Linked DNA regions of Drosophila melanogaster. The protein of the gene in region 2 interacts with the protein of the main gene of each other region in a pairwise test. Each region holds a gene or a part of one and is shown on either strand. Other genes may lie near its edges.

Region 1 (4,525 bases), on a different chromosome or scaffold from region 2:
CATAACTTGGAATGAAAGCAAATTAGACTATATAAAATATAATAAAAATGTTAAGAATACATTAGCAATGGTATGCTTTGTTAGTTCTTATAGACACCTTCCCTATGAGTCATCCTTCTCGACTGGGACACCTGTTTCTTTAAAGGGCAATCCTTCAATGACCTTAACTCCTTTTTTCCTATTTTTAGGGCGGCGGCAATGATGCGGAAAAGCAACAAGCCCAGCAGGAGCAGATGCGCGCCCAGGAGGAAATGAAGCACTCGATATTATCCCAAGTTCTGGACCAGCAGGCCAGGGCACGACGTATGTGGATCTAGACCTTGAATATCTCTAGCTAATAACTTATAAAATATCATTTAGTTAATACCCTCAAAGTCAGCAAGCCGGAGAAGGCGCAAATGTTCGAGAACATGGTCATCCGCATGGCCCAGATGGGTCAGGTGCGTGGAAAACTTGATGACGCCCAGTTCGTCAGCATCCTCGAAAGCGTCAATGCTCAGATGCCGCAGAGCAAGTCCTCCGTGAAATACGATCGGCGGCGGGCGGCCATCGATAGCGACGACGACGAGGATTACGGCTGCTGATTCGTCCGAAATTCCGCCCAACATCTAATTTAAGTTATGCCCGCTCCTCACATCCGCTAAATCATGTTTATTACTTTTACTAACTTAAAACGAGAAACAAAACTAGATGCCCAAATACGTATGGACTTCTTTGTGTCAGATGGCGAATCTTAAAGCGTATTGGAAGTTCGTGCCAAGCGGCAATGACATACACTGACATAGGACTAGATTTGGCTTACATTTATATGCGGTAGAAAAGTGGTCTAGAGGAGGGGTGGGGTCTTCTACGACTTCTTATAGGGATTTATCATTTCATATTCTTGTATGTTCCTAGCTTTTTATGATCTTGCTCGGAAATGCACTATGAGATCATCTTATTTACTTTCTCTAACATTCACTCGCAATCAAAAGCTTTCACTAGATTCATTTTTAAGTTATCCCTTTACTCCTTCTTCTCGTGATCTTCATCGGGATCTTCTTCTGTGACCAAGCAATCGCCGCAGAAAATAGAGTACATGATGAGCGATAAGAATCCCAATGGCAGGCCGAAGATGACAGTGGTCAGCACGGGATTTCCCAGCCACATATCCCTTAATGCTCTTCGCACTTCGAACAGTGCCCGATTCAAACGTACAAAGTACGTATCTCCTCCATAGGCAATGGCACTTTCGTTGCGGATGGATTCTAGGAAAAGGTGCAGTGCCTGTGGAGTCATTTGCATTGGATCATCTTCGGGTATGAAGTGGTGTTGGGTGCTCGAATTAATCGCTATCAAGTGAGGCGTGGGCAGTTGATCCAAGATAATGGAATGTGCTATTGATGGCTCGCCAATCTGAAATGGAAATATTGATTAGCTCCAAATCGATAAAACTATGATAGAATCACTTACCCATCCAAATTGGAATTTGTCATGATATCGCGCCCTATGCTTTCTTATCACGCCCTCCACCATGTCCCGAAACTCCAGCTCATGCGTGGCTATCTGATTGAGCTTATCCTCCTGTACCACAGCCAAAACCAAGTACTTGTTTGTCTTGAGCAGCTGGTGGATGTTGAACCGAGTGACCTTTGGGAAGAGTGTGAACCTCTCCACGTTCACCCATTGGAAAACGGTTTCGTTCACTTCATTGGGGTCCATTTCGTGCGCCAAATGCCCATGCGGATAGAAGTGGTGCTGCTCTTCTTTGTAGACAATCACCGCTGGCAGTTTCTCAAAGTCAAAGTGTTGGGCAGCGATATCCTCGCTGGTGGCATAGAAAAATCCATGCTCTTGGTAACCTTCAGCTGCAGCATAGTATGTATCCCACACCACGCCCTCCTGTTGGCCTACGAAAATGAAAAATATCGTATGGGATCCCTTTAGCATGTCCACACTCTCCGTTCGCGTGACCAGCTGAACTGGAGGCCCAGACATCCTTAAGGCATAATCCACCAGCTCATCGCGACCGCGGTCTCCGTTGTAGGTGAACTCCATGTTGCCCTTGATGAACATAATGGTGGGATAGCCACGAACCTGTAAGAATTTGGGGATGCTTATAAGGAACTTGGACCAAATATGGTATATTCTCACCTTGAACTCCTTCGCCGCCGCCGGATACTTGGTACAATCTAGGCGACCCACTCGAACGTTGGTGGCATGCAAAGCCTGAGCCACCAGAGCAAAAATGGGCTCCGTTTTCTTGCAGTAGCCGCACCACGGGGCATAGAACATGACCAACCATTGGCCCTCGTGTCGCACATCGATGAACCGGTCACTGAGCTCCAAAACCTTCGAGGATAGCCCCGTCGAACCCAGAGTCAGAAGCAGAGCTGTTGGTTTTGTAAATCATTTAGCATCAGCTTGGATTTTTTCTATTGTTCGTAATTTATTTACCACTTATGAGGCCGAAAATCCACATAGAATTTGGCGACATCCTTGCAGCAGGTTTAATTTGTACTTCCAAGTGTAATTTACGTGCCCCTTATTTGCTATATCATGCTTTCCGTTATTTTAATAGCTTCTTTACTTAATTTAATTAGTTGATTGGTTTAATTTTCAGTTCCAAATTATTTTCCTTCGGACCACAGCAACAACAAAAGAAAACATTTGCAAAAACCACCCCCTTTAGACTGACCAGATGTGGAAAATATCCAAAATACTTAAGGAGATACTCTTTAGTCCAATGCGTAAATTGAACAAGTTTATTTATTAATTTTGTAGTTGTTTGGATTATGTTTTTAAAAGATTATTGAACTCAAGATTTTCATTCTACTATAACCTTAAAACTAAAATGAATTCGAAATAAAAACTAATTAAATTTTTTTATATGCATCTCTAAGAATTTATCTTTAATAATGACATAGTTAATAATTACATTTATAAAAGAATTTTTAATTTTGAAAATAAGTTTTTGAGCGGCCATAGAGCGGCTGCCTAAGGGTTAATCTGGTATATTTTTAGTCAGATGGCAACTCTTCAGCTTTGTTTACCTCACAAAATAGACTATCTGGCAACTCTTAGGCACACACGTGCATCTCCAGAGGAATTTTGTTTCAGTTGTTGTTCCTTATTTCTTCTTAACTAAATAATTGTATTAACTAAATAAAATGACGAATAATGCGAAGAAGGAACCCCAGCAAAGGGGCAAGCATCAGGTGCATAATGTGCGCTTCTACACTATAAAGCCGCGTGAAATTGTCAGCTTGGCGTATAGTAAATCGAGCAAGTGCCTCGCTCTGAGTCGGTAAATTATTGAAAATTAAAAAAAACCTAATAATTACTGTGCAGTAAACTAATAAGTACACTCTTTGCAGTGCAACACCCGTCATTGAGCTATGGAACCTGGAGCACGCCCCGTATTTGGATCGTGTAATCCACCTGCCCACCGATTCTCATGTGGAATCTATAGCCTGGGCGGGAAACCGCTTATTTTCCGTGGATTTAAGTGGTAAACTGATCGAGTGGGATGTGATTAAGCTAAAACAACGATATGAGCACTCGCCCACTGGCAATGCTCTCTGGAGTATCGATGTGAATCCCGCGGAAACGGATATTGCCATTGGCTCAGAGGAAGGGCACATCAACATCCTGAGTATTGAGAATGACGAAATCACCTATAAATCCCTATTTAACAAGCAAAAAGGTCGCGTTCTCTGCATCAAGTTTGATAAGACTGGAACTAAACTGGTGACCGGCACTGAGGGATTTGTTCGCATTTGGAACGTCCTCAAGGGAACCACTCTGCACACGATGACCCTATCCGAAAAGAACGTAATAGTTTGGTCCCTGCAGGTGCTATCCGATAATACGATTATTGCCGGTGATTCAGCGGGATTTGTTACCGTTTGGGATGCGGATAACGCGACACAGATAGATTCCACACGAGTTCTGGATAAAAACGTATTTGCCCTGGCTGTGAATAATAAGGAGGATCGATTAGTTTGCAGTGGAATGCAGCCGCCGCTCATCCGGATTTTCAGCAAAACCAAGATAAAGCGGGAAGAGTCCACCAGCGAGCGTTGGATTAAATTCCTACAGCGCGATGCCCACAAACACTATGTGAAATCCCTGTTGGTTATCGACGATCAAATTTATTCGGGAGGCAGGGATGGCATATTGACCATTACGTCCAGTGAACGAATGCAGGCACATTTGTCGCAGCATGCTCCCTTTCTGAAAGGTTCCGTAGCTTCCATGGCAATCAGTAAAAAGCTTTTGCTTTTGCGATATCCCAACAGCGTGCACCTGTGGCGCTTGGGTTCTGTGGCCCCGCAAGGCGAGGACAAGAAGAAACCCTGGGCACTGCCCGTCGGCCACACGGAGGAACAACTTCTGGAGCTGCCACCCCAGAAACTTCTCCAACTAAATGTCAAAGAGCACAACTTTATACAGTCTGCTGCCATTTCATCAGATGCAAACTGGATTTGCTACTCTACCTTAAAGGAACTCCGAATCAGTCGTTTGAAAAGTGATCCCCTGCAGG
Region 2 (4,771 bases):
TTAACTACTGCAAAATAGTTTCAAATACAACCTTAACAAAAGAAAACAACTCGATCGTAAATTAATTGTATTGTAACTCCCCCTCAATCTTCGTTGTGTGTGTAACAGAATACAAAGTGTAAAACATTAAACTGTAAGCTAATGGAAACAAAATCGAAACCAAAAACCAAATACAACAGCTACCGAAACAATAGCAATAGACATAAAGAGGAACGCTCCAGTCTGTCCGGAAACTGATCTTACAGCCGAATTCAGAATCCTGAGTTAGTCCTGAGCTACATATACCCCATCGGATTAAGATCAATAACTCGACAGTCGGGCGCTCCTTTCTCGGATCTTCACACGACCACACCATATAGTTGGGTATATATCAACACAATCGCGCAGCAGAATAGATATGTACGAATGTTCAACCATGTGGCAAACGATATGCGAAACAAACATTTAAACAATATTGTGCAACTTTACATAAGGCATTTATGATTTTATGAAATAAACTCTACTTAAGGATGTACTTTGCAAGTTCTTTTTTGGTTTGGGACTCTGCGATCAAATATTACATATATTTTTACATAATCGTAACCTAGGCTTTTGCTAGCTCCGCTTTTTTAACGTATTTAAGAATCCTTACAATTGTCGATGGAGTCACTCCTTGAATTCTACTAGCCGCCGCAATTGTCTGTGGCTGGATGAGCGTCAGCTTCTGTCGCTCCTCGTTGGACAAGCTTAGGGACTTTGAGAAGTAATCAATGTCGGCGGGAATGGACAGGCGCTCCTCACGCCGTACATCCTCCACATCTCGTTGCTGTTCATCGACAAAGAACGAATACAGTGCCTCTATTTTCAGCCTTTCGGCCAGATTTCGCTCGCCTTTAAGCCAGCTCAGTTCGTTGGGATGAAGATGGATTAGCTGCTCGATAGTGATGTTATCTGCTGGAATTCCCAGCATGTCGAAAGCCGATTTCTCCACCGAAGCTTTGGCCTTGGGCAGATTGAGTGCTTGTCGCCAGTAATGAGTGTGCTTCCGCAATCGCCGCAAGGACTCAATGGCCGATTGCAATCTCGCCTCGGTTTGCTGGAAGTGCTGGTAGCGATCTGAAGATACAAGTCCAAATTCGTAGCCCTTTTGTGTGAGACGCATGTCGGCATTGTCCGGACGAAGTGACAACCGAAACTCTGCCCGACTTGTAAACATGCGGTAGGGTTCATTTGTGCCTAACGAAGTCAGGTCATCGATCAACACGCCTATGTAGCCCTCAGTTCGACTTATGGTTAGTTGCCTTCCATCGCTATGCCTGGTTTTTCCAGCTGCATTGGCACCAGCTATGATGCCCTGAGCGGCTGCTTCTTCATAGCCCGTAGTTCCATTTATCTGGCCAGCAAAGAAGAGTCCTGGCACTCGTTTCGTCTCCAGTGTGGGATACAACTCACGGGGGTCTATGAAGTCGTACTCCACGCCATAACCGGGCTGGACAACTACCGCCTTTTCCAGACCTTGGATGGCATGGACCAGCTCTACTTGCTGATCGTGGGGCAGCGTGCAGGAGATTCCTTGGGGATACACTAAGGAACTGTCCAGACCTTCTGGCTCTAACCACACCTGATGTACCTTCGCGCCGAACCTCAGGATCTTGGACTCAATCGAGGGGCAGTAGCGTGGGCCGGTAATCTCCTCGGTGACATGGCGATTTACATGAAGATTGTCGCGCACAATGTCGCTGACTTTTGGTGTGGTGTAGGTAAGGTAGCAGGGTAGTTGGTCCTTGGCGGGTAGCCAAACGTCTTTGTTGAGAAAGGAGAAAGGCATAGGCGGATCATCACCTTCGTGCCTTTGGAGCTGTGAGAAATCCACACTGTCCTTTGCTATTCTAGGCGGAGTTCCAGTTTTCAGCCTCCCCATGCGAAAACCTAATCTGTCGATCGCCTCGCCCAGCGCTTTGGCTGGAGCGTCTCCAATTCGGCCGGCCGGTCGCACCTCGAGTCCGATGTTTATGTGTGCCCGCAGGAATGTTCCCGTGGTGAGTACCACGGATCGACTACGTACCACTTCTCCGTTGGCCAAAAGGACGCCGGTACAACGGCGGGCTTGGGTATCCTGTTCATCCTCTATCAGCAGGTTGTCCACAGCGGCTGCTCGAATCTCCAGATTGGGGGTGCTGTGCAGTTCCTGCTGCACAGCCTTTTTGTACAGCTGGCGATCGATCTGCGCCCTGGGCCCCCAAACAGCTGGACCGCGCCGTCTATTGAGCACCTTGTAGTGTACTCCGGAAACATCGCAGCAGCGGGCACATACGCCATCCAGGGCATCCACCTCGCGCATCAGGTGACCCTTGCCAATGCCACCGAACGACGGGTTGCAGGACATCTCGCCAATAGTCTCCAGTTTGTGGGTTAGCAGCAGGGTGCGTGATCCCATGCGAGCAGCTGCCGCCGAGGCCTCTGTTCCGGCATGTCCGCCTCCGATGACCACCACGTCGTAGATATCGGCACCGGCACTGTGGGCACTTCTCGATGGGGCCCTTATCCTTCTAGCCCAACCGTGCACCACGGCATTTCGTAGCTGCTGCATTTTCAAAACACCCCACAATAACAACAACTGGAGTTGCACAACACATGTTCTAGCGTTGTAATCGATAGTCGATATATCGATAGGGTGGCTGTGCAATGAATTGAAAGTTGGCGGCAAATTTTAAAAAACAATATTTTGGTCCGCATTAAAAGTAATAAGCTGTCTTTCATTTTATTATTGCTTTTCATAATATAATCTATTTAGATATTGCAAAATCGTCATATATTTATTTCATTTTGCTTATGTAACAATGTTTGTTTTATTTCCATTCTACTTAGAAAAAAACTTATACTAAAGCAGACCGACTAACTATTTAAAATCCATCCATCTCAGCTTTTCGTTTGCGTTTTTTCAGCTTTTGTTTTATGTCCGGCGCTTTGCCACGCACAACAGCCGCCTTTAGACGCTTCGCCGCCTTCTTCCGCTCCTGCATGCCAGCCTTTCGCTTGGCCGCCCGTTCAGGATCGTGAATCTTTTCTTGAGCCACAACCTTGCGACGCTCTGCACGGCGGGCCATCAGCTTGGTTTGCACCGCATTTCTTAGTTTGTCGTATACTTCGGCTCCGATGCGCTTCCTCAGGCGACTGCCTACACGGAGAGCTTGCTGGCGCAGTTCCGCATCCACGTTCTGATCCTCCTCAGACATTTCACGAACCAGCGCCTGGAGAAGAGAGGGTGCCAGTCGGGTCACGGACTCCACACTGAGTAGCGTGGACAGCGCCTCTATGAGCGTAAACATAGCCGTTCTCTAAAATTGAAATATGTTAAAATTAGGAAATTGTCTTGAGTTTAAAAGTCGTCATACGTACTATGCTGATGTCGTGAGGTGCCTTTGCGACTTCCTTGTTAATGAGGAAGCGTATATTGCGAATCAGCCAGGTGAGACTTATTTTGTTCACCGGCTCTCGCTCCTCTTCATCATCGTTTTTCTCCTGTTTCAGACTAAACGGAACGTCTCTCAGCATATGTCCAACGAATAACAAAATCTTCGACAGCTCGTCAATCATCTCCTGAGCAGTTTCGCCCGGCGTGACCTGAGCACACAAATCTAGCACCAATGATTTGATGTCCTCTGCAGGCTGTGCGTAAATAAAGTACAGCGCCTTCTTGGCTCCTGCTTCTAGTTTAATTCCTGACAACTGCTGACCGATATAGGCGAAATCGTAGTGGGCGACGATGTGTGTCAGGAGTTTGGCAGCATTGCAGCGCACCCAGTTGTGGTCGTGATTCAGAAGTCTCTGAGAGCCATAGGCCAAATCATCGACAGTATCAGAAAGTTGTGGATTGTTGAGTAAGGACTCTCCGCAGTGCTCGAAGATCTTCAGCAGGCAATACTGCAGTTGGATGAGCTGATGGTCAGCTTTGCGTTGCTGCTGCTCCAAAATCGATTCATTGTCTAGACCAGCTAGCAGTAAATCTTCATCCGGCAAGGTTTTGAATTTCTATAAAATTAAATTTATAAGTTTAAGAGTGATGTACATTTAGAAAATGTTATTACCTTTCGCTTATTCTTTTTGTGAAGCTCACTTTCATCCACCTCTGCTGCGAGATATCCTGGAGCCCGCACGAATCTACCTCCAGCCTCCGCATGCCCCAAAGTCAGAACGTTCACCAGAGTGGGTAGAACCAGTGGTAGCCTTTCCGCAAATCCAGCTTTCTCTGCCTCCACAAATCGTGACAGAAGAGCAGCGGCCATTTCTCGGACTCCTGGCTTCTGGCTGGACTGTGGTGCGGTGAAGAACAGTAGCGTTAGATCCAGCAAGGGCTGCCGTTCCAGTTTGGTGAGACGTCCGATCAGAGCTTCCAGAGCAGCGGCCACACTGCGTCGGCATGACGGATCCTCATCGTTGACCAGTCGAGTGCCCAGGGAAAGGTATAAAAACTCCGACTGTTTGACTAGCATAAGCTGTGGGAACTTGTTGATGATGGAGTGCATAAACTGAATAGCCGACTGACGGCCAGCGGTTTGGCTGTAGCACAACTGAACCGACATGAACTTCACAATCTGCTCAACCTTCTGGCGCAGTGTATACTCCATAATGTAGGTGAGTAGAATGCCACGACATTCATCGCGCACATAATCCGATGATGAGATAATAGATAGGTCTCCCAAACGCTTCATTAGATCGTGCAGGGATCGGGAGTCCACCTTCCGACCCACAAGCGCCTTCAGCAGGGTAAACACCATGGTTTGGCTGCTAC

What was found.
Region 1: the proteins of CG4610 (region 2) and Tmx3 interact in a two-hybrid assay, tested with the Drosophila melanogaster proteins (one large-scale study listed by BioGRID).

Annotation. Positions count from the first base shown.
Region 1 is NT_037436.4:16,227,252-16,231,776, reverse strand, and holds Tmx3 (Thioredoxin-related transmembrane protein 3), read right to left. Parts: upstream 2,678-4,525; 5' UTR 2,477-2,677; coding exon 2,437-2,476; intron 2,373-2,436; coding exon 2,134-2,372; intron 2,077-2,133; coding exon 1,453-2,076; intron 1,396-1,452; coding exon 1,006-1,395; 3' UTR 638-1,005; downstream 1-637. Other genes in the region: PDCD-5 (programmed cell death 5), read left to right, coding at 189-303, 361-584; l(3)72Dn (lethal (3) 72Dn), read left to right, coding at 3,150-3,286, 3,357-4,525.
Region 2 is NT_033778.4:22,490,038-22,494,808, reverse strand, and holds CG4610 (uncharacterized protein), read right to left. Parts: upstream 2,613-4,771; 5' UTR 2,570-2,612; coding exon 584-2,569; 3' UTR 514-583; downstream 1-513. Other genes in the region: CG4554 (uncharacterized protein), read right to left, coding at 2,883-3,317, 3,379-4,011, 4,068-4,771.